4 linked regions of the Stegostoma tigrinum genome follow. The protein of the gene in region 4 purifies or fractionates together with the protein of the main gene of each other region. This does not show direct contact. Links are inferred from orthologs where the notes say so. Each region holds a gene or a part of one and is shown on either strand. Other genes may lie near its edges. The genes, in order: map3k7, pias1b, eif2ak2 and chuk.

What was found.
Region 1: the proteins of chuk (region 4) and map3k7 purify together in Homo sapiens (affinity purification with western blotting; 9 studies listed by BioGRID and IntAct, with this or other methods). This does not show direct contact. The link is inferred for Stegostoma tigrinum from reciprocal best matches to the Homo sapiens genes CHUK and MAP3K7.
Region 2: the proteins of chuk (region 4) and pias1b purify together in Homo sapiens (affinity purification with western blotting; 3 studies listed by BioGRID). This does not show direct contact. The link is inferred for Stegostoma tigrinum from reciprocal best matches to the Homo sapiens genes CHUK and PIAS1.
Region 3: the proteins of chuk (region 4) and eif2ak2 purify together in Homo sapiens (affinity purification with western blotting; 3 studies listed by BioGRID). This does not show direct contact. The link is inferred for Stegostoma tigrinum from reciprocal best matches to the Homo sapiens genes CHUK and EIF2AK2.

The regions. Positions count from the first base shown.
Region 1 is NC_081357.1:54,993,343-55,001,311, reverse strand, and holds the start of map3k7 (mitogen-activated protein kinase kinase kinase 7), read right to left. Parts: upstream 3,024-7,969; 5' UTR 2,737-3,023; coding exon 2,662-2,736; intron 1-2,661. UniProt on the Homo sapiens protein: Serine/threonine kinase which acts as an essential component of the MAP kinase signal transduction pathway. Plays an important role in the cascades of cellular responses evoked by changes in the environment.
Region 2 is NC_081386.1:29,954,558-29,962,496, reverse strand, and holds the start of pias1b (E3 SUMO-protein ligase PIAS1), read left to right. Parts: upstream 1-4,928; 5' UTR 4,929-4,938; coding exon 4,939-4,977; intron 4,978-7,939. UniProt on the Homo sapiens protein: Functions as an E3-type small ubiquitin-like modifier (SUMO) ligase, stabilizing the interaction between UBE2I and the substrate, and as a SUMO-tethering factor. Catalyzes sumoylation of various proteins, such as CEBPB, MRE11, MTA1, PTK2 and PML.
Region 3 is NC_081357.1:95,093,065-95,100,096, reverse strand, and holds the start of eif2ak2 (interferon-induced, double-stranded RNA-activated protein kinase), read right to left. Parts: upstream 3,006-7,032; 5' UTR 2,752-3,005; intron 1-2,751.
Region 4 is NC_081390.1:13,732,537-13,739,525, forward strand, and holds the start of chuk (inhibitor of nuclear factor kappa-B kinase subunit alpha), read left to right. Parts: upstream 1-3,977; 5' UTR 3,978-4,156; intron 4,157-4,766; 5' UTR 4,767-4,818; intron 4,819-6,989.

The sequences.
Region 1 (7,969 bases), on a different chromosome or scaffold from region 4:
GTGCCATCATCCCAGGGATCAGTCTGGTGAACATTCCTTGCATTTCTTCTATGCCAAATATATCTTTTCCACTAACTGAAATCAAAACTGTACACAATACTCCAGGTGTGGTCTCAGGAAGGCTCTATAAAACAATCATGGTAACACTTACTCCTGCAATCAAATCAACTATCATTAAAGGCCAGCATTCTACTTGCCTTCTTAAATGCTTGCAGCATTTGCATGTTAGCTTTCAATTACCTAAGGACAAGGACAGCCAGACTCCTTTAGACATTAACGCTTCTAAATCTCTCACCATTTATTAAATGTTCTGCATTTCTCTTTCCTACCAAAGTGGATACTTTCATGGTTTTTTCACATTATATCTCATTTACCATATTTTTGCTCACTTACTTAGCTTTTCCAAATCTGCTTGAAGCGTCTCAAGTCACATTCCCACCTAGTTTCAGGCTGATGTGTGTAGCACATGGGATGTATAAGTTACTAGATTTACTTTAACATTTTAAGGATAATTCAAAGAATCATTCAATGGTTGCAGCACAGAAGGAGGTCATTGGGCCTGTCATGTCTCGAGCAACTCTACACAAAAAAATTAAACTTGTATTACTCCACTGCCTGCTCCTTTCAGTGCTGCAAATTTCTGCTCTTCAGATAGTGATCCAAAGCTATTGTGCAAGTTGAATGTGCTAATCAAGAAAATCTGGAATTGTTCTTGCTCTTGAAATCACCTCTTTAAACAATGTTCTCTTTTCCAATTATTAACAGGAGGAAGCTCCTGCACAATTTGTTTATATTTCCCTCCAACATGACATTGATCAAAAGTATTTCGTCATTTATGTCATCCTTGGAGAATAATTTCATTGGAGAGAGAACATCAAATGAAGCTTCAATATCAAGTTTAAGGTCTTCATTTGTTACTTTAACAAAAAGGCTTTACAAGCTCATGGAAGTTTGGACACTGAACAATTCAATATATTCTAAAATTGAATATGTGAAGACAAGATCGATCATATTTTTAATCCACAGCATCTGCTCAATTAACTCCAATCATTTGATTGATTTTGTAACCATCCTCTCAGTCAGTTTACTTGTACAGGTTTCTTTACTGGATCACAGTTAGGAACAAGACAGATGACAGCCCAGGGATTCCTGCTTCTTTGACTGCATTGCAGGGACCTCTGCTGGAAGCCCACAATGGTTAATTATTGGATTGGGCTCTGCAGTCAAATTCTACTGCCACTGTTTTCAGTCTTAATTACATCAAAATGGTTTGAAACATTTAGAATTTTAGGATAGTTTTTCTTAATTCATGCTGGTTGTAAATTTTAAGTAAAATCAAATTCATTGCATACTTTCAAAGGTACAAATGAAATTCTCACAATGTCCAGTGTCACAAAATGTAGTGGCTAAGTGGCAGTATCCCAAATCTGTGCCAGATTCAAGTCCCACTTGTTCCAGGGCTGTGTATAACATCTCTCAACAGGTTGTTTTTTTTAAAAATACCTTGAACTGGATTCTCATTGACTTGAGATAGTATAATATACAATACAACATAGAAACAGATCTTTCATCCTAAGAGTCAGTTACTTTTTATTTAATTCTATGCTAATTTAAATACCAAAGTAACTGAAATCCACATTCACCTATCACAATATAGTAGATAAGTGCACATCATGCTCACTTAAAATAGTCACATTCATCTGTACAATGGATTAGAACAAAAGAATTTGTTGGTTGACTAAAAGGGAGATGTTAATGCAATCTCTACAGTTACAGCAATATTGCAATCGCATTTTCAAAAAAAGAAAGCCAAATCTGAAACAGTTACATTGTTAAAAATGGAAGGCTGAAGATCCATCAAAATTTGGCATAGCTTTCTTCATTATGCAATGGGAAGTCATTTCTCCCCCACAAAAAGTTAATTATCTACACTAAAGATTAGTTGGTAATCTACAAGTTCACCAAAAACATCAACCTTCAGAATCCTGGAAAATCAACAGGAGCAAATGTTATAGCCTGGTAGTTCCTTACTGCAAGTGCATATATTAGCAGCAAGTTAGACAGAATTTAAACTTTTACTTTAGACACCAAGTTGCTGGGGAAGAAATGAAATCAGTTTGCCATAACGAGGAAAGTATTCAAATAATTTCTGATCATGTTTATACAGAGTTTATAAACAAAAGCTTTCAAGAAAAACAAGGAATATAAATAAATAAGTATAAGTATATCCCAGTTAAACAATTCAAATTTTGTAGCCACTCTTTTCCGAACTGTCTTACGTTGGGGGCGGGGTACTAGGATGCACAAACGACTAAAGTTCTCGTTCAAATTTAAAAAAAACTCAAAAAACAATAAAACTCTCCACAATTCTCACATACTCCAATGCACCAGAGAGAGACAGTATGAGATTACCAGAAGACATCAGACAGCACGAGATGTACCCTTCACTAACGTGTTTACAATCCATCTAAATGATCTGGACTTTAACCCATTTCCTTATTCTCTTAAACAAAACGGACGAGACTGGGGGCAGGGTGTTGCGGGCAGGGCTCGCTCCCCTTCCCCACGCTGGGGCCTAATACTTGACTCTCTCCCCTGGTTTGGTGTCTCCCCCAAAAGCAACAACACCCCACCCCCCCCCAACCCCGGCTCTTGCCTCACCTCCTCCACATCAATCTCATTGTAGTCGATCTCCTCGAAGTGCAGCGGGGGGGTGTCGATGATCTCCGCCGACATCCCTACAGCCGGCAGTGGGGGGCGGTCAACCCCAGGCCCCTGGCGCAAGCCGCCGGGCCGCCCGCCGCACTCGGCCTCTCGAATTCGCCGCCGGTGTCAGGAGCGGAGTTCGCCGAGGCCGGGCCGCGATTCCTGCAGCGCTCCGCTCCCACCAGCTTCGTCCGGCATTTCCGGGGTTAATCCCAGCCCGCAAACATCCGGGGAAAAGCGGCTTGCCGCCGGAACTGACGCTCTACACGAACGCAGGGATAACTAGTGGCAGAGACACACGGGCGATCCAGAGAAACCGCCGTCCCCAGGGAGGACGGATGGGTGGGGCGGAGTACTGGCAACGGTAAAAGAGCTTCCTACTACGCCTGCGTGACCTACTCGCCATTCCAACATCCGCGCCTGCGCAGCACTGCTTGGAATCGCTGCGCGTGAATTTTAAATTTGAAAGTTTTTTTTATAACCGGCGAAGCCGGAACTTGATTTAAAGCGACCTTTTCCTCACCGGCTGTCAGCATCGTTTCAAATGAGGACTCCGATGAACCCGGACTGTGAGCACAAACTCTGCTTCTCTCTCCAGACGCTGCCGGATCTGAGGAACGGTCACTGGACCCGAAACGTTAACTCTTGTTTTATTTTCCGTTCACAGATGCTGTCAGACCTGCTGAGCTTTTACAGCAGCTTCTGTTCTTGCTGCTGTGGGATCTGCCGAGTACCTCCAGCAATTTCTGTTTTTGTTGTTACGATCTCCAGCGGCCTTAGTTATTTGTTTTGTCGCATAATCGTTTTGCACTTACTGCACCAGCTCATTCGTTTCGCCGAGGAACTTTTCACTTCAAACTGAATAAACGGCCATCAGTTGCCGTGGTGAAAGTGAACATTTTATTCCAGCAAAACGTCTGAGTTTCGGTGGTGGAGTGACTGAATGTTTGTGGATATGGTGCCAATCCCTAGCGGGCTGCCTTGGCGTGGCTACTAGTTGAGTGTTGTTGGAGCTGAACCCATTCACAGACAAGTGGGGAGTACCCTGTCATACCCCTGACTTGTAAATGATGGACAGGGCTCTGGGAGGTTTGCAGGTGAATTACTTGCTGCAGGTTTCCTCCCATCTGACCTGCTGTTAAGGCCACAGTATGAATAGTTCAGTTCAGTTCCCGGTTAAGAAAACAGCAGGACATTGATTGGAGATCACAAAGTGCAGAGCTGAATGAAAACAGCAGGCCAAGCAGCATCAGAGGAGCAGGAAGGCTGACGTTTTGGGCCTAGACCCTTCTTCAGATATTGGTTGGCGTGGGCATTGGTGGCCTGGTAAGATAATGCCATCAAATGTCAAAGGGAAGTTCTTACTCAGTTGTTTGAAATGGTTGTTGCCTGGCACTTTTGTTGTATGAATGCAACTTACCATTTATTAGCTCAAGCCAGCAAGGCTTGGGAATTGTGATCAGAGATAATGGGAACTGCAGATGCTGAAGAATCCAAGATAATAAAATGTGAGGCTGGATGAACGCAACAGGCCGAGCAGCATCTCGGGAGCACAAAAGCTGATGTTTCGGGTCTAGACCCTTCATCAGAGAGGGGGATGGGGACAGGGTTCTGGAATAAATAGGAAGGGGGGGGTGGACCGAAGATGGAGAGAAAAGAAGATAGGTGGGGAGGTAGGGAGGGGATAGGTCAGTCCAGGGAAGATGGACAAGTCAAGGAGGTGGGATGAGGTTAGTAGGTAGGAAATGGAGGTGCGGCTTGAGGTGGGAGGAAGGGATAGGTGAGAGGAAAAACAGGTTAGGGAGGCAGGGACAAGCTGGGCTGGTTTTGGGATGCAGTGGCGGGGGACGAGCTGGGTTGGTTTTGGGATGCAGTGGGGGTAGGGGTGATTTTGAAGCTTGTGAAGTCCACATTGATACCATTGGGCTGCAGGGTTCCCAAGCGGAATATGAGTTGCTATTCCTGCAACCTTCGGGTGGCATCATTGTGGCACTGCAGGAGGCTCATGATGGACATGTCATCTGAGGAATGGGAGGGGGAGTTAAACTGGTTCGCAACTGGGAGGTGCAGTTGATTGTTGCGAACCGAGCGGAGGTGTTCTGCAAAGCGGTCCCCAAGCCTCCGCTTGGTTTCCCCAATGTAGAGGAAGCTGCACCGGGTACAGTGGATACAGTATACCACATTGGCAGATGTGCAGGTGAACATCTGCTTAATATGGAAAGTCATCTTGGGGCCTAGGAAGGGGGTGAGGGAGGAGGTGTAGGGGCAAGTGTAGCACTTGCCTCCCTAACCTGTTCTTCATCTCACCTATCCCTTCCTCCCACCTCAAGCCGCACCTCCATTTCCTACCTACTAACCTCATCCTGCCTCCTTGACCTGTCCCCTCCCCACCTATACTCTCCTCTCCACCTATCTCCTTTTCTCTCCATCTTTGGTCCTCCTCCCCCTCTCTCCCTATTTATTCCAGAACCCTCTCCCCATCCCCCTCTCTGATGAAGGGTCTAGGCCTGAAAAATAAGCTTTTGTGCTCCTGAAATGCTGCTTGGCCAGCTGTGTTCATCCAGCTCCACACTTTGTTATCAAGGCTTAGGAATTAGATTCTCAACAATCACCTGCAGAAAAGTACAGTAACCCTAAACGTCAGCTTTCCTGTTCCTCTGCTGCTTGACCTGCTGTGTTTATCCAGCTCTACGCCTTGTTATCTGAGTAAAATTGCAAGTCACCTTTTACAAATACTGGACTTCTCAGAGTTCTTACTAGTCAATGCAGTAGTTTTCCAACTGTAGAAACTCTGTGAAGTAGGAAACAAGGTGATGATCACTGTACAGTTAACTCAAAAAATGTGATAGTAACCAAATAACCTTTCTGTGATGTTGACGATAAATCAAATATTATCTAAAATACTTTTGATAGTACAGATTGGAGTATCTTAATTTCTATGCTCAAGCTCTGGAGTGGGACTTGAGTCCAGAACCTTACAGCCTAAGAGGCAAGAGAATTACCCTTTGAGCCAAGGCCAATTGGCATCTTGAACATGTACAGTACAATGTTATGGGGATGTCATGGGTTCTAACCATTTTGCTTGAGTATTGGAAAAATGTCTGGGAATGTAACAGAGAAGTCTCATCTCTACCTTCTGCATTTTCTTTCTGGCTAGCCAGTGATGAAATGGATTCGGACATGCTTTCCCAGGGTAGCAATGAAGCTGGGTTGATGCCAGGCTGACAGGCTCAAATGCAGACTTCCATTTATTGTGATATCGGTCCTGTGTTAATGATCAATGTTAGGTACTTAAGCCTTCATGTCGTACTGTCCACCCACTACATGCCACCTCTATAACCCCTCAGATTCCTTATTCTTTTCATATCATCTATAGTCCAGAGTCCCTCCATGTTCTTCAAGTTTCCCTTGCTTTGTCACACTTCCCATATGTCTCAAGTATCCTCCGGAGGCATTCACCCAGTACACACCACGGAAACAGCTCAGGATCTTAAAAAAAAAACTCAACAATCCAATTTCACTTGAAAATCTTCTCTTCCTCTGTGGAGTTACTCCACCTTTATAATCAAAAAATATGGAATTAGCACATTATCAGTGGTAAGGATGCTTCCCATAACAGTGGAAATAAAAAAGGGGAAAAAAGAAAAAAACTTACCTTTCCAAAAAATTAGATCCCTTCAGGCAGTCAATTGATTGTCGGAATAAACATCACTTCCACTATCCCATCAAAGATAGATAAGCCCTCAATATTTTCTCACAACTGGCCGTCATGCGTATACAGCTGAAATAGTGGTTCATAACCTTTTGAAACAGCCCAAGCATTCATCACAGGCTCAGATGGAATAAAAATCCCTGTGAATAATTAACAGTCGAGTCTGTTGCAACTAGAAAAAACCTAGATGACTGTTTCGTTCTGAATTACACCAGATGTCCCGCCAGTCACCACAGCCTAGGAACGTCTAAAGCAGATAAATACTACAGTGCAGAAGGCGGCTGTTGGGCCATTCACATCTGCATCAGCTCTTAAAATGAGCACCATTTACATCTCCTACTTTTTCCTCATATTCTTGCACATAATTGTGCAATGTCTTTTTGAGTGTCTCAATTGAACGTGCTTCCATGAGGCTTCAAGGCAGTATAGCTACTTTTGCAAATCATTTTAAATCTGTGCCGTCTCATTCTTGTTTCTTTTATGAGTGGGAACACTTTCTCCCTGTCCACTCTATTTAGCCTGCTTATGATTTTGCAAACTTCTATCAGATCTAAAGAGAACCGTCTCGCATCTTCAATCTATTCTCAAGCAAGTGAAGTAGGACTTTTTGTCTCTATAATTGAAAGCTGCAGGTTTTGCGCCCTGTTATTGAAAGGCATATAAAATCCAGCCTACAGCTTTTGGTTGTCACATATGCATGTGAAAAAATTTCATACATAGCTCTATGGAAAAAATGTCTTGGTGAAGAATAATCATTGTCCAGTGGAACACATGCGAGAAAAATAATCAGAGTTCCTGCAGGACTCCAAAGGTTATCCTTGAGGCTTGAGAGTCATCACTTCACTCTGAAATACAAGTCAGGAAGATAAATAGTGATTAGCAGATGTCCTATCTCTGTTGCCACCACAGGAGAAGCATGAAATAAAACATCTAGATATAAAAATCTATCACCTAATGAACATAGTAACAAGGAAACTGAGTCAATTTAGTTATCAATGAAGACAAAATGTTCTGGAAGATCTCTCAGCAAGTGATTCAGGGATATCTGTTTAGTTGATGCAAACACATGCAGTAATACTGCTGCATTGGTCTGTCAGTGTTGATGTCTCATTAGAAATTGACATTCCTCAGCCACATCCACCTAAAATGATTCACAAAGAGCTTCTATAAAAGATATGTGATGATCACCTGTGAGAGGAGAAGTGTAAGCTTGGAGCCAGATCAGTTGTATACTGAGTGGGCATCTATGAAGACATTGAATGAATGAATGAAAGAGCACCGTGCGGAGCTGGAGGAACACAGCAAACCGGGCAGCATCAGAGGAGCAGAAAAGCTAATGTTTCGGGTCAGGACCCTTCAGAAATGGGGGAAAGGAAGGGAACTGGGAAATAAACAGAGAGAGGGGTGGGGCTAGGCAAGGTAGGTGGGATGGTGATTTGTGAATGCAGGTGTGGATTCGTGGGGGTTGGTCAGTGGGATAGATGGGAAAGAAGATGGAAAGGTATCAGGTCAAGGAGGTGGGGATGAGAGGGAGGGTTGGATATGAGATGA
Region 2 (7,939 bases), on a different chromosome or scaffold from region 4:
TGTCCTCGCATACTGTCCCACCAACCTCCACTTCCAGCGCATCATCCTCCAGCACTTCTGCCATCTGCAATCTGACCCCACTACCAAAGACATTTTTCCCTCCCCACCCTTATCTGCTTTCCGGAGGGACCACACTCTCCATGACTCCCTTGTCTGCTCCACACTCCCCACCACCCCTGGGACTTTTCCCACAACTGCAGGAAGTGCTACACCTCCCTCACTCCCATCCCAGGCCCCAAGAAGACCTTCCTCATCAAACAGAGATGTTCAATTGCACATCAGCTAACCTAGTATACTGCATCTGCTGTTCCTGATGTGGCTGCCTGTACATCGGGGAAACCAAGCGGGGGCTTGGGGACCGCTTTGTGGAACACCTATGCTCTGTTCGCAACAAACAACTGCACCTCCCAGTCATGAACCATTTCAACTCCCCTCTTCCCTCTTCTTCCCACCCCCCCCCTCCCCCTCCCCCCCCCCCAACTCCTCAGACAATATGTCCATCCTGACCCTCCTGCATTGCCACAACGATGCTACTCGAAGGTTGTGGAACAGCACCTCATATTTCACTTGGGAACCCTGCAGTCCAACTGTATCAACGTGGACTTCATAAGCTTCAAAATCTCCCATCTTCTGACAACATCCCAAAACCAGCCCAGCTTGACCCTGCCTCACTAACCTGTCCTTCCTTCCAACTATTCCCTCCTCTCACCTCCAAGCCCCACCTCCTTCTCCCTACCAGCCTCATCCTGTCCCTTTGACCTGTCCGTCCTTCCTGGACTGACCTATCCCCTGGCCCCTAACTCCACACCTACACTCACCTTTATTGGCTCCACCCCCGCCTTTTTGACCTGTCTGTTTCTTCTCCACCTATCTTTTCCTTTATCCATCTTCTATTCGCCACCCCCTCTCTCCCTATTTATTTCAGGATCCCCTTCCCTTTCCCCATTTCTGAAGATGGCTGTAGGCCTGAAATGTCTGCCTTCCTGCACCTCTGCTGCTTGGCCTGCTGTGTTCATTCAGCTCTACACGTTGTTATCTCGGATTCTCCAGCATCTGCAGTTCCTACTATCTCTTGAGTACTCACTGCTGTGAGGCCCCTTAAATTCTCATCTTTTCTTCATTAGTTGGCACAGCCTGATGGTCGTATCTTTGAGCCCTGATTTTTAAGCATGCCACAGTGCACTCGATCTTGCATCACAAGCCCCACCTGCAACTTTCAATTTGGACATGTGGCATCTGGGGCATTAAAATAGACTTGTACCAGGAAGAAGTTTGGAAAGCACTTGTCTACAGAGCAGCAGTGTTATCAGCCCTTCTGCATGTGTTGGAGACATGTTCAATGTGCAGGAGACTCCCTCAAGTGCCTAAGAGAAATCACTAGCAATGCCTGTACAAATTCTTGCAAATTCATGGCAGGGTAGGTGATTCAGTATCAGTGTTCTCACAAGGGCCAGCATCCCTGGCAATGGAGATACTGTTTCTGGTCACTATGGTGCTTTGGATGAACCATGGTTTCCATGTGCCTGATAAGACTCCAAATCAGCTCCCCACTATGGGTTTCATTGACAAGAAGAAAGAGGAAATGTTTCAGTGCTGATCTCAAAATTTCATGAAGCAATACATTATCCCACCTAATTGTGGAAATAGCTTGCCCAAGATCATCTGAAATGGGGAAGGAACAATCCATTTTCAGCTTCTCCGAACGGTCCAAATAGAAACCAACGTACACAGCAGAATGTGAAATCCTTGAGTAGCCAAACCACCTGCTTCAGCAAACAGCACCCGTCCCATCTGTGACAGAATATGTGGTCCTAGTATAGAACTATTTAGTTACCATGTGACTCAAAATTGGAATGAAAGAACGTCAACCTTGGTTGCATGAGACTTTCTAAAAACAAGAGCCCACCAAGTGGTAGTGGTAATGTAGGGTGTGGTATAAATCAGGAAATTAGGAGTGCATTCAGACATAGTAATCATGGCAAACAACAATTTGCGTGTAGACTGGATTAACCTCATTAATTCCAATGCTGTGGAAAATAATCCCTGGAATATACATGTGATGGTACAGTTTGCTGAATAACCAACTAGAGAATGGGCTAGATCTTTGCAACTAGAAAGGGCTTATGCATTTATTACAAAGGGACCTTTAGGGAATAGTGACCATACTGTGATAGAACTTTGTTGTTTGAAAGTGATGTAGTTCAGTCGAACTTGGAGTATTTTTATCTTTTGTAGTGTTCCTTATTTAGATTTGAGCAGCAATTTGCACTGGAAAGTTAAATGATATGGCTGTAGACAGGTGTTTAAAGAATTAATACATTGCTTACAACAAATGTGCATTCTTTTGAGGCTCAAAACTCCCAATAGGAAAAGTGATTCAATTGAGGTTGACAAAATAATTCAAAGATTATATTAGATCAAAGGAAGAGGCTTTGTAAAGTTACTGAAAAAATAATAATAAGCTTGAGGATTAGGAGAACTTTAAAATTCAATTGACGACCAATAAGCTAATGAAGAAAAGAAAAGTGAAATATAGAAGTAAACTGGTGTGAAACCAAAAAGGTCACTGTCTTTTTATCATGTAAAAAGTAAAAGATCATCAAAGATAAATGTCCCATGACACGGAAGCAGGATAGTCTGTCTATCTGGGAAGTAAATGGGCAGAGAAACTAAACAAATACTTGATCTGCCTTTGCAGAGAAAATGCAGACAAAAGTTCCCAAAAATAAGAGAACTGAAGGACTAGTGAGCATGAGGGACTGAAAGTAATAGATGTTGGTAAGAAAAACAAAGTAGCAGAGATCTTAATGAGATCAAAAAGATGATCAACGGTGATTTTTTTTTCAAATATAAAAAAAACTTGTGAATGTTGCTGGGTAGACCTTAACTAAAATATAAATTATATCCCAGAATTGAGAGAGGTGACTGTAGATATAGTGGTTGCATTATGTGGTGGTCATTGTTACTTCATAGATTCTGGAAAGATTCCTGCTGATTGGAAGGTAGACCCTGCTATTTAAGAAAGGAAGGAGATAGGAAACAGAATTGTTTCCTTACACTGGTGAGTGACATCACTGGGGAAAATGCTAAAATCTGTTACAAAGAACAGTAACTGGGCGTTTCAAAATAATGGAAGGATTGGGCAGAGTCATTATGTTTTCCTTGCATAAAAATGTTTGATAAAGCTATTGGAGCTTTGTGGATATTAGCAGAATAGATAGAGGAGAACAAGTGGATGTGGTGCATTTCAATTTTCAGAAGGCCTTTAATAAGGATCTGTACAAAAGGTTAGCGCAATTTGTGTGCGTAGAATTGGGGATAATTTACTGGTATAGATTGAGATTTGGTTAGTGAAGAATCTTAGCAGGATCTTTGACAGGCTGTGAATGGTGGGGTGTGGCAAGGATCACTGCGTGGACTCCAGCTATTGACTGATTCCTGGGATGGCAGGATATGAGAAGAGATTGAGGCAAGCCTGCCTGTATTCTCTAGAATTCAGGAAAATAAGTGATCTGATTGAAGCATACAAAATTCTTACAGACCTTGACAGATGCGATCAGACTAGATTTTTCCGCTGCCTTGAGTCTAAAACTGGGGACACAGTCTCAAAATAAGGGATATGAGATGTGTTTATTAATTTTAGTTTTTTTGAATCAACAACTGATACTTCTCCTATTATTACATGCATCCTGTCTATAATTATGAGACCTTTTCCCCCCACAGTTGTTGAAATAATTTGCACAACTATTCTGTTTTGCAGGAGAGAATACTTGTTGATATTAACTGTTGTATCATTTATATAGTGAACTGACTGGATGGTAGGTCATAATTGGCTTTCTTTATGGATTTATTAAAACCAGAAGTACAGAGTAAAATTTCATTTATTTAAAACCAGACACTGGGGTTCCAATTGCACTTCTTATTTTGAGAATTATATTTGTGACTGGAAATTAGAGAAGTACGTTATCCATTAGTTGAGCAATTAGATTGGCTGAAATGGTGTATATTTTTGCGTGTGGTGAGCCTTCATTCTGCAGGTGTATGTAATACTTTGTATGTAATATCCCCACGCTCTCAGCTTGTTGCCAGGAACTACCATTCTAACTCAATGCAAACTGAAGCATGGATAGTAAAAATTTAAATTGAATTTATTTCAGAAGCTGATGGAGTTTTTTATGGTTTCGGGATTAATAAACCATGAGGCATAGATACGTGTTAATTGGCTTCTGATGTAAAGTGTGAGATTATGTATATTTTAATATTCATTTTAGAGTTTGGATTTCAGCTAGTGATGTAGATTTTGATCTGTTTACCTACAAGTGTTTATGACTAATATTAAAGTATTTCTGTACCCATAGTGATTTATTTTAAAGCAGTTTTCAAACTTTCTGGATAGTATAGGATTTTGTTTACATTGGGAGAGTTTGAGTCAACAAAGTAGATCGTCTGTTAGGCTGTCGGAGGATTCTGGAATTCCTTTGGGCTTGGAAAAAACATTTTTGATCTCACTTTGGGACAGTTTGCAGAAGTCATGGCAGATGCTGGATGTACAAAACAGATACTCCTGAGAATGGGAAGTTGCAGACTGTTCAGATAGAGAGTGAGGTAATGACGAAGAGCATCTCAACCACTGCACATAGCCAGTGGCTGTAGAACCGTTTTCTATCAAGACCCCTTGTAGGTGTCTTCAGGAGTGCATGACATGAGCATTAATTTGAAATGGAATTGAGATTTTATTCTCAGTTACCTTGTCCATGCATTGTTGTATTTCTGTAGATGGTCTAATCTTGCCTAATGTCTTTAATGGTATGGTTTTTACACAGTTAATTTCCACAAAACTGCAGTAATTTTGTGCTAACTCATTATCTGGTGTATGCTACGCTCAATAGTGTTACACAGTGAAATAACCACCTTTTCTGTACAGGAAAAGAAACATTGATGGGAAATCACTTTCCTGTAGCAGAGAATTATTACCTGGTAAGAGAAGAGCAACACTTTGTTTTTTCGGAGTGGAACCCTGCAGAAAGTTGCAAGTGAAAATGGCAATGCTTGTGTGTCTGCTATACTGTATTAGCTCAACACTATAAAATTTATGCAATTCTTCTTTGAGGCCTTTTCTTGCTCAATCGGATGATCATAACCACCAAGCTAAAAAGGAATCTTCTGATTAAGACCTTCTAATTCACAGAGGACGTTTTAGTCTGATTCATATCCATCACCCCGCACTGAAATCTCAGCTCATGTGTTGGCAGGTGCGACAAATTCTGCCACTACAGGTGAGATGATCCATGATATTCTGAAATCAACTGTATGCTAAACAAAACCACCTAATAATTTCTTTATTTTCAACCCCAATTAATTCTATCTCCAGTTTTCAAAATGAATTTCAGGAATCAAATTCACATCTTTGCTGAACCTTCCCTGTCTGTACACTATCTGTGTACTGCACTTTGTTGAAATTTGCTGATTTGTTTTTGAGATGTAATGTTTACAGTCAAACAGAAATGAATATGGTCTGTGATGAAGCGGAAAAAGATAGAGTACGTTCCATGAGCTTAAACTTAGATTTTGTAAGTTGCATTTCTCATACAAAACGTGACCTGCAATAATAACATTTTGGCGTTGTGTTGTTGAAATTGAATTTGTAGGAATTGCAGATGCTGTGGGCACCAGTTTTATAGATGTTACAACTGAGATATTCCGTAATATGGGCAGAGGCTTAACCGCTGCATTGGTTAGTGGAAATTTACTAATTAAAAATGGTAATCATATGCCTGTTACTCACTGCTCCAAATTCTGTCCTTGGATACAAATGATGCTTCTTTTCAATTCTCTCTTCTGTTTTGCTTATATTAATGATGCATAAATATTTATAAAATATTTTGTAAGTGTTGAAATATTCCAAAACACAACAGGTGAGATATTACTAATTTGATTGGGAGGTTTTTAATTGTATAGATGCTATGAGATTGATTTTGAGGTAGCAAATTAATTCAAATGTTTAATTTTCAGGCCTTGAAGTTGATATTTTGGTTAAGCTATGAAAACCATTTGGACTCAATGTCAGGTTTTATTGAGATGCAGTAACCTTCCGAGGATCTGAGACACAAACACATTACAGTAGCAACATAATGAGTGGCTTGGTGTTATGGGCGTTGCAAGAAATTCTCATGGTACCTCAGTAAGCTATATGGTTGATCTGTGTAACCTTTGTAGAACTGTTGAGCAGTGCCTACACAGTGTTTCATTAACTGTCAGATTTTAGATAATTTTGACTGCTTAATTGAAAAAGATAGTTGACTAATTTCATGTTTTTTTAAGTGTGGATGGTGAGTGGCATGTTTTTGTGACCCATTATGTAAAATAAAACTCTCTGATGTACTCATTTGGTGTTATTCTGTAGAAAGCCCAGCAGCCGTTACTTTTGTTGTAGAATGCGAATTAGGCAAAGAAATGGTGGTATAGTGAAATTACATCCAATGTAGATAATTGAGGGTTGAGCTTAGAGTTTTATAAAATCATGAGGGCCTAAATAAGGTGAGTAGCAAAGGTCTTTTCCTCCGACTAGAGAAGTTCAAAACTGGAGGGCATTTTTTACGGTGAGAAGAAAGATTTAAAAGGGACCCGAGGGCAACTTTTTCATATGTGGAATAATCTGCCAGAGGAACTGGTCGATGCAAGTGCACTTACAACATTTAAAAGACATTTGGGCAGGTACATAAATAGGAAAGATTTGGGGAAAAGAGTGCAATGCAAGCAAATAGGACGAGTTCTGTGTTTGGGAAACTTGGCATGAACGAGTTGGACCAAAGGTTCTGTTTTCTGTGCTGTATGGTTCTATGACTGACCCAATCAATTGCATATGATTGGACTAATATCCTTAGAATTGATTTTTTAAAAAATCTTATAGATGTCAAATTGTGTGTGGTGTATATAACTCCTTTAATCTGGTTGCAAGGCTATTACCGTTGTTGATTATAATTGAACTCCCATGATATTGTGTATGTGGTTAATTTTGATAGTGACTGAGATTGTGCATGGTGCTATTTAGTGATTCCAGAAGTGATTGTGGTGTGTGTAGTCTCTGCTGTGTTGATGCTTGGTGAGATTCACTTCTGTCACTGGCGCTTTGATAGTTACTTCATGTGAGATCCTGCATGCTCTAGTAATGTACTTGTACTGGAGTCTACTTTATTAGCCGAAAACTTTTTATTTACATTTGTACCTTCCACAGTTCAACATGTTGAATAATACTTGGAGGAAGCACTGAGCATGGCAAGGGTGCAAAATGTACTCTGGATGGGGGAATCCGTGTCTGCCACTAAGAGTGTTTCGACAGCAGTGTTACTGATCAAGTTGGTCGGGTGACGTAGCTACTAAACTGGTATCCAGCAGTTGTTGATGGGAGAAACATATTTGATGTCATCCTTCACAATCTGTTGATTGCCAACATATCTATCATTGATAGTATCTTTAGGAGTGAACACCACACAATCACTGTGGTAAATGGGACAGACTTCAAACAGATCGAGCAGTTCAAGACTAGGCATCCATGAGGTGCTGTGAACCATCAACAGCAGAATTGTACTCCACAATCTACAACCTCATGGCCTGGCATATTCCGCTCTTGACCATTACCATCAAGCCAGGGGATCAACCCTGGTTCAATGGAGAGTGCAGGAGGGCATGCCAGGAACAGAACAGGTATACCTAAAGACAAGGTCAACCTGGTGGAGCAAGTAAACAGGACTAATTGCAAGCCAAACAGCATACCAGTGATAGACAGAGCTCATTGATCCCATAACCAATGGGTCAGATCTAAGCACTGCAGTCCTGCCACATCTACTCATGAATAGTGGTGGACAATTAAACAACTCACTGAAGGAGGCTCCACAAATAGCCCCATCCTCAATGATAGAAGAACCCAACATGTCAGTAC
Region 3 (7,032 bases), on a different chromosome or scaffold from region 4:
ATGAAGTAATACTATAACTGATATTTTCCATTAATAGGATTGCAATCAAGACAGGAACATGGTTTTCCATACAGATGCTTGTGCTGCTTTCTTCATGACACACAAATGAGTAATGCAGTTATGTGAATTTCAGTGCCGGTGTAATGCTAACATATCTGGGCCCCATATCCCAATGACTGTTGAGTTGTATTAAACATCACATTCCCTTGCAGTAGGCAGAGTACTGGACATGCTCAACTCACAAAATGTTTGTAAAACACAGAATGTAATGTTCCAATGATACATATAAATCCCTGTTTTGATATCTGTTACTGAACAATCCTGAGTGTGACAACAATTATGCAAAAACCAATTTAAGATGCTCCATTGGGCTCACAATCTGCCAATCAGTATTTCTTTCATATGTGATGTCATTTAGTGCTCCCCACCATTAAACTTTGGAATTCTTGTGTCTGTTCTGATGACTGCGAGACAAAAGGTTTTGACAGACTGTCTCTTTCTCACCAACCAAGAATTGTCATTACAAAGAAGTGAAGTATTAATATCAGACTTCCTTGTGACTTCCACAGGAAATGAAACTAGGAGTCATGTACAACAGGCAGCAGATCCAATATTGCCCACTGCAAATTTTCATCCAAATCTAAATCATCTCCCTTACATAGATGGCAACAGGCAATTGTAAACTGGATGCACCACTTTTCCAAACACTTCTTATAAAACTCATTACAGCTGTTAGGAGTCCTGGTAGGAGTATTTGTTTGTGTAAAATACAGGGAAATGTATTTACTAATGCCTTGATTTGGAAAGATAAATCAGTTCTCGTGCAATATTCTTTAAAATTCATTCACGCTACAAGCTAGGCATCCTGCAAAGTATTTTCCTGGCCTGACTTGGCTCTAGGGCAAAGCAAAGGCTAAACATGGATTTTAAACCCAGAGTTAAATTTATTCCAAAGGCCGAGAGTTCAATCCACATACTGAGAGGTGAGTGTATCTTCGAGGCTGTCACATCCAAGGTGTGCTATCACAGTTCTTATGTTTTCAATCAGACCTTCAAGTGTCTACCTGCTTGAGTGGACATAAAAGATCCTATACACACAATGTAAAGAACGTCATGAAATGCAGTGCAATATCCTGGCCAATATTTCACCCTCAAACTCTCAGAGGGTTGAGAATCTTTGGAACTCCTTGCCACACAGAGTTGTGTGGACGGAGTCCTTATGAAAATTTGAGGCTGAGATAGTTTCTTCATCAGTAGCGGAATCAAGGATTAGAGGGAAAAGACAGGAAAGCAGACATGAGGAAAATTACCCAAGGGGACATTACTCATAATCCCATTGAATGGCACAACAGACTCAACAGATTGAATCATCTACCCCGTTCCAATTTCTTGTGGTCTCATTGTGACATATCAAATTTCAGATAAAAGAAAATATCAGATTTGAAGAGATCTCAAGATTTTTGTTCCCCCTTACTAGTCCCTCTACACCCAAGGAAATGAGTCAGGGAGCTAGGTAGTATTATATGGAACAGGAATGTGGCTGGTTTAGAAGATTAGATAGCAGTTACAAACAATCCTGAGTGTGACAACAATTACGCTAAAAACCAATTTAAGATGATTCATTGGGCTCATAATCTGGCCAGCCAATCAGCACACCCTTTTCATGTGATGTCAATTAATGCTCCCCACCAATAATTGAAACATTGCTGAATGTGCAGAATTCAGACACTCACAAACTAATAAAGGATTTCCCTTCATTACAATCAAATGTTCCAGTTAACACATTGAAACGCCAGGATCATTTTGATAAGAACATGTTTAGTGTAGAAAATATATAGGTTATTTCTACAGATATATTAGATCAATTTCTTTTCCTTCAATTCTCTATTTAAGACTGCAATAAAAAAGCAATAATACAAACAACATAAAACAGCTTAATAAAAGTACTGCAGATGCTGGAAATTTGAAACGAGCAGCAAGTGCTGGAGAAACTCAGCAGATCTGTCAGTATCTGTATAGAGAGAGAGGAAAGCAGAGCAAATAGTTGAGTCCAATGACCCTTCAGATTATGATCCTTCTGACAAAGGGTCACTGGATTTGAAACTTTAACTCTGCTTCTGTCTGCACAGGGGGCTCTCTGAGCTAGACTTGCGGCAGAGGGATGAGGATACTCTTCAACAGGGCCTTAGAAATTTCAAATTATCTTCAGCAACAGGCAATCGAAATGATACAAAGTGATTTAAACGAGACAGAAATTGACAGATTTTTGAGGAAAATGTAAGGAAGATGGGGAAAAGCAGGGATATGAAGTAAACCATGCATACGCTCATGGGATGGTCTGGCCCTGTTCCTATGTAACAGCGATAACATTTACAAAGCTGCAGAAGGCCAAGGGACCGGTAACGGGTTGTGAAAAGATACACATCTCCCAGTTGTTCCAACTAGGAGAGCGGTCCAGCCTCGGGTTAATGTCTCATCTGAGAGACTAACAGTGATGGTGTCAGCCTTAATTCTGTACTCAGTCTCTGAAGGAAAGACTTAAATCCCTAACCTGCGACTCAGAGTCCACTGTAACGGAGGTGACAGTAAAACAATATTCACCATCAAGTAACTAATCGGTAAGAAGATTTTTGAAAGCTGAGTCATACTGCAACCCCTGCCGAACCCACGGTGCGTGCCCCGTAAAGCTTCGGCCGGTGTGTGTAATATAACATTATTCTGTAATGCGTTCAGAGCCCCAGGAAAACTCACCGTCAGCGCTCACAGCAGCAATCTCTTGACTCTCGCAGTGGAGACCGTGAACGCAAATTGTCTCTTCCTTCAGTCGGAAAGAGAGTTTCGTTTCTCGGCCTCCGCTCCTTTTACTTTCGCTTTCCTGCAGCGTTACTGAGAGAGGCCTTTAAGGATCAGAGCTGGAACCACTGCGTGGCTCACATTGCAAACACGGAGCGGAATGAAGGGGGATGGATGCAAGGGAGGGTGTAGATTTAGAGTGGGTGTTTAATGAAAGGAGCGTGTTTTAATACAGTATGAGTTTTTGGGGAAGAGGCATTGGAATTCATCTGGCTGAACTTGTTTGAAGGAAGTGTCAGACACAATGCCAAACTTATAGGGAGTGGCTTTTCCCAGCGGACTACCAGTCAGGGTGTCAAAAATCATCACCTCCACCACTTCTTTTCTGTGGGGAAAAGCTGCTTCCTGGATAGTGTTCACTGGCAAGGAACTTGATCTGCTATCCCATGAAGTGCACACCCTCCTTTATTGGAGGCCATGCAGTTTTTATTTCAAGGTCGTTGTGGCATCCTCTACATTGGGGAAACCAAGCGGAGGCTTGGGGACCGCTTTGCAGAACACCTCTGCTCGGTTCGCAATAAACAACTGCACCTCCCAGTCGCAAAGTATTTCAACTCCCCCTCCCATTCCTCAGACGACATGTCCATCCTGGGCCTCCTGCAGTGCCATAATCATGCTACACGAAGTTGCAGGAAAAGCAACTCATATTCTGCTTGGGAACCCTGCAGCCCAATGGTATTAATGTTGACTTCACAAGCTTCAGAATCTCCCCTCCACCGACCGCAACCCTAACCTGTCCGTCCTGCCACCTCAAACCCCATCCCCATCTCCTACCCACTAATCTAACCCCGCCCCCTTCACCTGTCCGTTCTCCCTGGACTGACCTATCCCCTTCCTAACTCCCCACCTACACTCATTTTTACTGGCTCCATCCCTGCCTCTTTGACTTGTCTGTCTCCTCTCCACCTATATTCTCCTTTATCCATCTTGTATCTGCCTCCCTGTCTCTCCCTATTTATTTCAGAATCCCCTTCCCCTCACACATTTCTGAAGAAGGGTCAAGGCCCAAACTGTCAGCTTTCCTGCTCCTCTGATGATGCTTGGCCTGCTGTGTTAGAACATAGAACATAGAACGTTACAGCACAGTACAGGCCCTTCAGCCCTCGATGTTGTGCCAACCTGTCATACCGATCTGAAGCCCATCCAACCCACACTATTCCATGTACGTCCATATGCTTGTCCAATCATGACTTAAATGTTCTTAAAGTTGGCGAATCTACTACCGTTGCAGAAAAAGCGTTCCATTCCCTTACTACTCTCTGAGTGAAAAAACTACCTCTGACATCTGTCCTATATCTTTCACCCCTCAATTTAAAGCTATGCCCCCTTGTGCTCGCCGTCACCATCCTAGGAAAAAGGCTCTCCCTATCCACCCTATCTAACCCTCTGATTATTTTATATGTCTCAATTAAGTCACCTCTCAACCTTCTTCTCTCTAATGAAAACAGCCTCAAGTCCCTCAGCCTTTCCTCGTAAGACCTTCTCTCCATACCAGGCAACATCCTCGTAAATCTCCTCTGCACCCTTTCCAAAGCTTCCACATCGTTCTTATAATGCGGTGACCAGAACTGTATGCAATACTCCATGTGCGGCCGCACCAGAGTTTTGTACAGCTGCAGCATAACCTCTTGGTTCCGGAACTCGATCCCTCTATTAATAAAAACTAAAACACTGTATGCCTTCTTAACAACCCTGTCAACTTTCAAGGATCTGTGTACATGGACACCGAGATCTCTCTGCTCATCTACACTACTAAGAATCTTACCATTAGCCCAGTACTTTGCATTCCGGTTACTCCTACCAAAGTGCATCACCTCACACTTGTCTGCATTAAACTCCATTTGCCACCTCTCAGCCCAGCTCTGCAGCTTATCTATGTCTCTCTGCAACCTACAGCATCCTTCGTCGCTATCCACAACTCCACCGATCTTAGTGTTGTCTGCAAATTTACTAACCCATCCTTCTACGCCCTCATCCAGGTCATTTATAAAAATGACAAACAGCAGTGGGCCCAACACTGACCCTTGCGGTACACCACTAGTAACTGTTCATCCAGCTCTACACCTTGTTATCTCATATTTCAAGGTCTCTTTGGTTCCATGTGTGCCCCTTTCCAAAGGATGGAATCCCAACTACATGCCACTAATTTTCTCTTCAGCTGACACCTCCTGTCAGGAAGAGTATTGATGAAGGTGTTGGTCCACTTTATGACAACGGGTAAGTTAGATGTGAAGGATTAGCGACACAAGAAGCATCATCACTGACCCATTGCAAATTGATACCCACCAGCTGACAAAGATCTTTGAAATGCCACCTTGAGAAACAAAGGGAGACAGTCGACATAGACTAATGAATGGACTCTCTAACTTAAAACAATGCTGGTCTTGTTTTATGTTGAACTTGCTTATCACACAGCCTTTGCAGTGTAACCTGTATACCTTCCTCTGTCAAAGTTTCTTTTTCACCCTATAATCTGTATGCCCTTGCTTACTATGATCAGCCTGTACTGCTCACAAACAAAGCTTTTCACTGTACTTAGGTACATGTGACAATACATCAAATCAAAACAGTGTGGTCATGTGTAGATCATTGGGTATTGGGTAGTAGCAAATATAATATTATTATCATAGTAATTTACTGTTACATGTATTTATGAAAAATACTGCCAAAACATGCCTAAGTCATCATAATTAATCTGGCACCATTTTAATTACATAAATTATAAAAAAGAAATAATACATACTAAGTCAAGACAAATTTCATGTTTTTGTTCCAACAATGGCTTCTTGAATTCACAAGTGACTACCTGATGTGCCTTACTCTGCAGGTGTCAAAACTGTCCATGAGGCTGCAACACCAAGGAGGAAGCACACTGAAGTAACCCCCTGCTGACCCAACACCATCTCTGCCAAAGGTACCTGATCATCACTGATACTCCAGCTGCCGCCATAGCCAGGAGACTGTCCCAACTTTCACAGACTGCTGTCCATTCTCAGCTTCCAAGGACCGACACACCATCCAAATGAACTCCCCAGGATCAAAGGATCATTCACTCTGCCGCAATTGCAGATGCTGCCAAAACACCAAAGGAAAAGAACCGGCCCCAACCCATCAACGCTGGAACAGTTGCTGAAACAATTACTACCATGGCCACGAGGAATGGACTGGATCCACCACTCAACAGCTCCCTGCAACCTCTCTCTAAATACACCCCCACAGAAAGAAGAAAAAGTGAATTTGATTCAAAAGTTAAATGAAGAAAAAAGGATGTAATCGGTCATATGAGAGGGAGTGGATGGGCCGGGAGACTGAATACCTCCTACCTTGATGTCTCTGCAATCTCAAAAGAGTGGGAATTTCTTCACATTGCTAGTTTGTCCATTATCAACAACTTCTCAATATCTCTGGAATCTTTTTCTAAAATGAGTGTGTATATGAGACACGATCAGGGCTGATAACGGCAATGTGTTTGCATTGGTGAGATGTTTACAAATACAGAGTGAACATTCAAGACTATTCAGCTTGCTTTCAGTTATAAGAATTGATTTTAGTTTTTTTTTGCTTACGGGAAACAACCTAGCTTCTAAAGCCATCTGAGATAAAGAATTCCACATATTCACTACACTCAGAATAAATTCCCCCATACCTGTTTCTTGAATGTTTAACCTCTTGCTTGGAGATTATGCCTTCTAGAACTAGAGTCTTCCACAAGAGGAAATGAACCTTTCCACATGTACAATGTTGTCCAGTCCCATAAGAATCACGTATGTTTCAAAAAGGTCACCTCTCATTCTTCTATATTTTAACAAATACAGGCCGAACCTATCCAACCTCTACTCGTAAGACAGTTTTTTCATTCCCAGAATCAGTCTAGTGAACCTTCTCTGATGGCTTCTAGTATCAGTATAGCTTTCCTTAGATAAAGGGAACCAAAAACAGCTTGCAGTATTCCAGGGGAAAATCACAGTGGCTCGGTGGTTGGCACTGCTACCTCACAATGCCAGAGTCTTGAGCTCAATCCAGCCTCAGGCGACTGTGTAGCGGTTACAAGTTTTTTCCTCATGTCTGTGTGGGTTTCCTCGCACAATCCAAAGGTGTGCAGGTGAGCTGGGATGGCCATGGGAAGTGCAGGCATTTGGTGGGGGGGTCCTAGGTACGATGCTCTTTAGAGAGTTGGTA
Region 4 (6,989 bases):
GTGAAGGTCAGTTCCACCCACCCACCGCACATCATAACCTTTAATTCCTTTACTGTTCAAAAATCAATCTTTGCTTTCAAAACATTCAACAAGATAGTCTCAACTGCTTAACTGGGCAGGGAGTTCCACAGATTCACAAACTTTGGGAGAAGAAGTTCCTCATCATCTCAGTCCTAAATCTGCCCCTCATTTTGAAGCTTGCCCCCTGTCCTAGGTTTCACCCACCAGTGGGAACAGCCTCCCTGCCTCTATCTCATCTATTCCCTTCATAATTTAAATGTTTCTAATTCTTCTAAATTCCAGTGAGCTAGTCCCAGGCTATTCAATCCCTCCTTATAAGCCAACCTTCTCAACTCCAGAATCAACCTAGTGAAGCTCCTCTGCAACCCTTCTGGTGCCAGTACATCCTTTCTCAAGTAAGAACACCAAAACTGATGGGTAGTAAATGGTGGGGTCTTTGCAACTGACAGAGATAAAACAAAAACAAAAAGACCTCCCACCCCCATCGCCCATTTGCTTTGACTCACTAAATGTACAGTAAATCCATTCCATCACACTGCACTTCATCTGTGAAAAGCTTTAGAGTACTATATATCTGAAACTCAGCAGTTGAATTTTTCTCTAGTTATAAGAGCATTTGCCATTTACAACCAATGTGAGTCTGTGACAGCATGATGTGCTTGAAATTTATTATTACTTCAAAAGTTTTCATGACTCTAGGTTGTTTTTACAAGATAGTCTTTCGGGTAATTTGCATCATATAATATTTTTAGCTTCATAAAATAATATTGAAACTTCAGAAATAAATATTAGAATAAGTACTTTATTGTTGTCTTGGGAATCAGAATAGAAGCAACATACAGACACACGGTCTCCATAGAAAGGAGAGTACATATTTGGGGATTAGTAAGTAAGTATAAACCATATTCACAAAGGACCATAGTAAAGTTACAGTAACATGTCCAAGACCAAATCTACTAGTTGCAGTATGGAGTCAGCAGATCTTGGTTAGATTGCAGACTGGGCTCAGTCAAACCAATACAAAGGTGTGGCAAGATTTAACCAAAATGAGTACTTTGTTATGAAGACAAATTGAAGTACCGCGCCCAATTTGGGTGATTAATCATTCTCCCACACATGAGTTGTAGAAAGCGTATAAACCTGAAATTTTAAAATATGTTTATTTTTCCAAGATACTTAAAGCAAAAGAAAATTTATCTCAAACAAGTTTTCAGGATCTGGGCTAACAGCAGATTATAAGTTCGCATTGTACTGGTTTAATTGTATCAGTGACAGTAACATAAAATCTTTTTGGCTCAAGTTGAGGAAATGTTGTCTTCTAAGTAAACCTTTCCTGTATTTAATCATAGGAGCAAACACTATTACATTTTACCAATTTTGGTTACAGCCTAGGCGCAAGAACAGTTCCCACCTCGTGAGGGAAGTGGCGAAACCTAATGCTAGAGAGAATCTACATAAATCTCAGCACTTAACTATGTCCAAACTCATATCACAACTTCCATATCCTGGTAAAAGTGCAGTAATTCTTACATATGTAAATGTAGTGTTAACCTGAGGAAATGTCAAAGAGAAGGGATTGAGTGGGTAGCTGAAACCAAATTTGAATTTCTCATCGGAATGTTGCATTCTCATCTCCATGGATATATGAAGCTCAGCTGCATGAAAGCAGGCAATATGTGAGAGGTTATGCTACCTGTAACTTGGAAAAAAAAAGGAATGAGTATAACAATGTGACAATAAGAAAAATGCATTAGTTTATCCAGTTCTGTGATTCTGGATGTGAGTTTCGGCTTCATCAGAGGCTCACTGATGATGTTATCTAGAATGGTGACGAAACGTCTGAAAACTAACCTTCCAGCTCAGTGAGCAAACTCACATCCAGAACCTCAACCTGAGCTATAAATCTTCTCAAAACTTGCAAGTTCTGTGATTATAACTTGTGGAAAATATGTCATTTTGTTACTTTTTACAATAATCTTCAGATTTTCAGCTTGATATCTACAAACTGAGTAAAAGAAATCTACACAATATTTACTCCACACATTCAAAATGGACAAGAGTATTTTTAGTATACAATTTCAGCAGTTAAACATAGACTGTCTGAGTCCTAAAATACCTATTTATTACAGTAATCAACAAAAACAATGCTTCCTGGTGTGAAATGCTTTCCAGATATTGTACAACAATTTTAGACAAGTACCACTTACCATTACAAAAGCAAAATATACTGTATAAATAGAATACAGTGGTTAGGAACACTGGAGTATGGTTTATACCTAGTTGATTCTACACAAATAATACGATAGAAGTAAAAGGGTAAGATGTTGGATAATATCAGCGGGTCTGGTGATGTCTGTGGAGAGAGAAACAGAGTTAATATAGAGTTCACAATGCCTTCTTCAGAATTGAGGGCAGCTGGAAAAATGATTTTATGCATTGGAAAAAAAGGGGAAAGAGGAGCAAAGGGAGAGGATGGGAAGGGTATCACAGGGAAAAAGACAAAGGGATTGCTCAAAGATTGTAGAGAAGCAATGTGAAGTGTAAATTTTTATTTGTGGTATGTCCAGGAAATGATCGTTCTTTTTCATCCTCAAACATTTCATACAATTGCAGAGACTCTTATATTGCATCCAAAATGCAGTTTAAAGTACATTGGTTAGGTCATACTTTAAACTTTTAAAGTTAATTTGTGTAATCATGAGGGCAATAGATGCATGTGAACACCACCACCTGTAAGTTCTCCTCCAAGCTATATTGCTGTTACTTAATTGTCACTGAGTCAAAATACTGGAATTCCAATCCTAACAGCAATGTGGATGTTCCTGTACTTCAAGGAATGCAGTTGTCCAAGAAGGCAGCTCATAAGCACCTTCTTCAGAGAAATTTGGGATGGTGTCCTGGACAGCCACATCCCATGACCAATTGTAAATTTCACAACATTTCCAAGTCTTTTGCTGTCTACAAATTTTGAAATTGTGCCATGCATAGCTTTCTATTTATAGTCCCACAACATTGGCCACTGCTGTAAAATCACTGCAATATCTCCAACTGCAAAGATAATTCAGGTTATGTTGGCTCATGAGTCACAATGTTCCATGTAACAGCTTGGCTGCAAAGCAGCAGACCACAAAACAAAGGGGAGGTTTTAAAAATTCTTTCACAGGATGTTAGAGCCTGTTGAAGCAATAGAGAGCAGCCTTCTTCATCCGCTGTAGCAAATGTACTGCATTTGGGGTGTAGGTCTCTTGAAAGTATTTAGAGCAAGTGTGAAAGGTTCTGGAAAGTTAAACTCCCATGGTCCGTGGTCAATAGATCCCTCAAGCATTATCAGTAAAGCAAATTATGTGGTCATTATTACATGAATGTTTGTGGCAGCTTGCTGTGAAGAAGTTGGTGGCCATGTTTCCTTAATTACAGCAGTTGACAACACATAAAAAGAACCAGTGCTTCATGATAAAGAACGATGGCATTTCAGGAGTCGTGAAAGGAGCTATTAAAATGCAAACGTTCTGAAGAAAGTCACATAGGTTTAGTCATTCGACGGAGTGACTGGTGTTGGTTTAACCTGAGGGTCATCACCTTTCAGGTGAAGAGACAAGTTGGAGGAGGAGGGTCCTTCATAGTAACCTCAGCCGGTGCTTGAAACGGACATGATAGATGCTGCCAGACTAATCAAGTTTCTCCAAAACACATTTAAAAATTTCAGATTTCTAGCAAATTATAAGTGGGAAAGGCTGATCAGCACTCAGTCTGTTTACTTTTGCTTTCGGGTTGAGAAGTTTGTTACTTCACCCCATGCACAACTCTCCCGCGAGAGCACGTGAAAAGATGCCACCCACGCCCCAGGTCCGCGACACACCTAGCTGTCAATCATTGCGGAGGCTGGCCCTCCAGGCCATGGGGGCGGGGTTTCACACTAAGCCCAGGCGTAGCGTCTTATCGAGAAAGAACTACAACTCCCGGCGTCCCGCGGGCGCGCTTGTGTGTCGCAGTTGCGGGAAATGTCTCTGATCAAGATTGATGAAAGAAGCAAAGTGTGATCACTTCTAACGTGTTTTTATTTGTTTTTCCGCATCGCAGTTTAATCATTTCTGCCTCCAGGAAGCGATTCCTTCGGTTAGCTTTCGGCTGCAAGGTAGGATTCGTAAAGGAGTCCCCGGTTTGACTGTTGGAGTTCCCTTAAACTAAGGCCTAAAGTGTCACTGTGCCGTGAATGACTTGCGTCTGTAATCGGTTGAGCATCAGTTGATGACATTGGAAAATGTGTCTTTGCGAAAATAGTTTGGATAACATACTTTTATGGCAGACTTTTATTTTTCTGTTGTTCTTGGTTCTCTTAAAAATGTTTTTAGATTTTCTGGTTATTTTGAGACTAGTGTGTATGATGTCATAGTCATGCCATCAACTTTTTGCCAGGACTTGGCCTAAGGTCGATTTATGTTAGCTAAAATGGGCAGGTTTCCCTTGGTTTTATTAGATCCTGGCATTTATTTTTAATCAGTACTTCAGTATGGTATTCGAATGATTAGTTTACAGCTCGTCCATTAGATTGAGTGGCATGTCAAATTTTTGAAACTGGATCACCTCCTTAAAGGAGGTTGGGGATGATTTTTCTTTCAGAGATTTTTGAGACAAGAATCTGCTAATTTTTGAATTTGGAGCCAAAAAATAATCACAGCAAAGATCAAAATGGTCGGGCATGCACCTGATTTATATTGCCTTATGATCTGTACTGCTTTTTCTAGTTGCTGCAGTTGTCAAAGACACCGAAGAATGCCATTATCATGAAGTGAAAAGGTATAGTCAAGAGCACCCTTCCAGTTCTTTCCTCTACTTAGGCAAATTTTGTATGTTTTCACGATGTTGGAAAAGGTCTTAAGCCTGATGTCCAAACCATGTCAAGGGGAGGCAGACAGTAGCTTCAAGAAAAGTCCACTTCTTATTCCTTGAGACCACAGGAGGCATTTAAAACACTGCAGCAGTGATTGATTTTTCTCCTTTGCTCCTAAATGCTATCTCTATCTACAGCACTTTTATAATTGTAATGGAGTCCTATAAAAGCAAGTATATACAGGTTATAATGTCTGTTTGTGGGCAGGATGATAAGAAAAGTTCTAATTCTAATAATTCCACATTATGCAAGGAAGCACCAAAATTTGAAATTTGAAGACTTTGGAGTATATATTATAGCTTAGATTTTCACAACAAAACCTAATGTTCATATGTAAATGTATAAGCATTGTCCAATGTACCCTTTAAATTTATACATCAAAAAGTGACATTTATTAGTAATTGAAAGAAGTGGGATGAACAAGTTAATAAATGATATCTTTCTGACTTGGGTTTTGCACCTTTTTAATATTGTAGTTTAATTTTGTAAATGTTCTTGCTCTTGTGAGGTTTATGTAGAGATTCAATAAAGTAATTGTTATAATTACAGGTTACATTTAGTTATGTTTTTTCCCACATTTTGTCTTTAATGATTTGAAAAAGTAATGCATTCATATTCAAATTTACAAAGGAAAAACCCAGGTCACATTTGGTGCAAATTATGTCCTCCAACAAGCAATATGACATAGTGGATGTATTAGATAAATTCAGAGATGGTTTGAACAGGAAATGTACTGAAGGCTCTGAAAATGTAGCAGAAGGTGCCTTCTTGGTTATTATAATGTTATTATTATCATTATCAGGACTTAAGAACGGGAGTTTGCCATTCAACCCCTCAAGTCTTTCAGTGAGTTCATGGCTGATCTCTGTCTTGCCTCCATCCAGTCATGTCACTATATACGATTACCTTTCCTCGGAAAATGTATTGATCTTCAATTTAATTGTTTGAGTGCAGGATTTCTTTGCTGAAAATAAACATTTTGTCAAACTTTTAGTCTTGTGCTGGGTCAGGACATTTAACAAAAATACAAGTTTGAAGGGAAAATTCCATTTTTACTGCATGAGCAGAGTGCTGATTGGCAAATTAAAGCCAACATAAAAATGTAGTTGAATTTTAAGTCTAAATTGTGTTCAGAGTAACTCCCATTTCCTTGATCTATTGTTGTAACTGAAATAGTAGCATCTTTATAAGACAGCCATGCTGTTATGTTGAATTAATCACAGTTGCAAGTTTCAGCAAGTTGCATGCATTCAGAAGGCTATAAAATTAGGCAGAAGATTGGAAATAGCATTCCTATCAAGCTCTAACCTTTTTCCTTTACTATTTACTGGGAAATTGATGACTGGACATATGATTTTATACAGCCTTTTAAGATACTTTTCAGTTACTTAAAATTGGGTTATCACTAGTTTGTGGATGATTAAAATGCATAAGTTTTTTTGTGAAATAATTTTAGCTCAGTTAATCAAATTACACAAGGTTGCCATTCTTGCATCAAGAATTCTTTCAAGTATAGAAGAAATCACCATTGTTCTAAAATACTGTCTAATCTGGCATGTGGCAAAAATTACATATGGTGATACTCAAATTAATTTGGACATACTTCTCAAAACTTAATACAATTAACACTGACTAACCAAACATAAATTTGTTCTTTTGTACTGTGGATGAGTAAAATGCAACAAAAATTGAAATAATAAATAAGAACTTCATAGCCAAACTTTACATGACCAAGGAAACATTAACAGCAAGGTTTTGTGTTTGTTTGTGTGCAAAGGGGTTCAAGAGAAAAGAAACTTTTAAGCTGAGTTTTTGCAAACATGAAAGCCCTTCTAAACTTTACAGAGTGCAACTTCCCTCACTAAATGTGGCTGAATTATCTACAGTTGCATGAGAATGCAAGCAAATGTCCATTGGCCTGTATCCAGAAATAAAAAATCAAGCAGGTTTGGTTGTATTGGTGGAATTTTGGTGCAAACCACTTGCTTGAAAAAACTCTGTCTCTCCATGAAAAGTCAGGTCAATGACAGTATCCTATGTATAGAGAGGCAAATACATCAACCTAATCCAAACTATT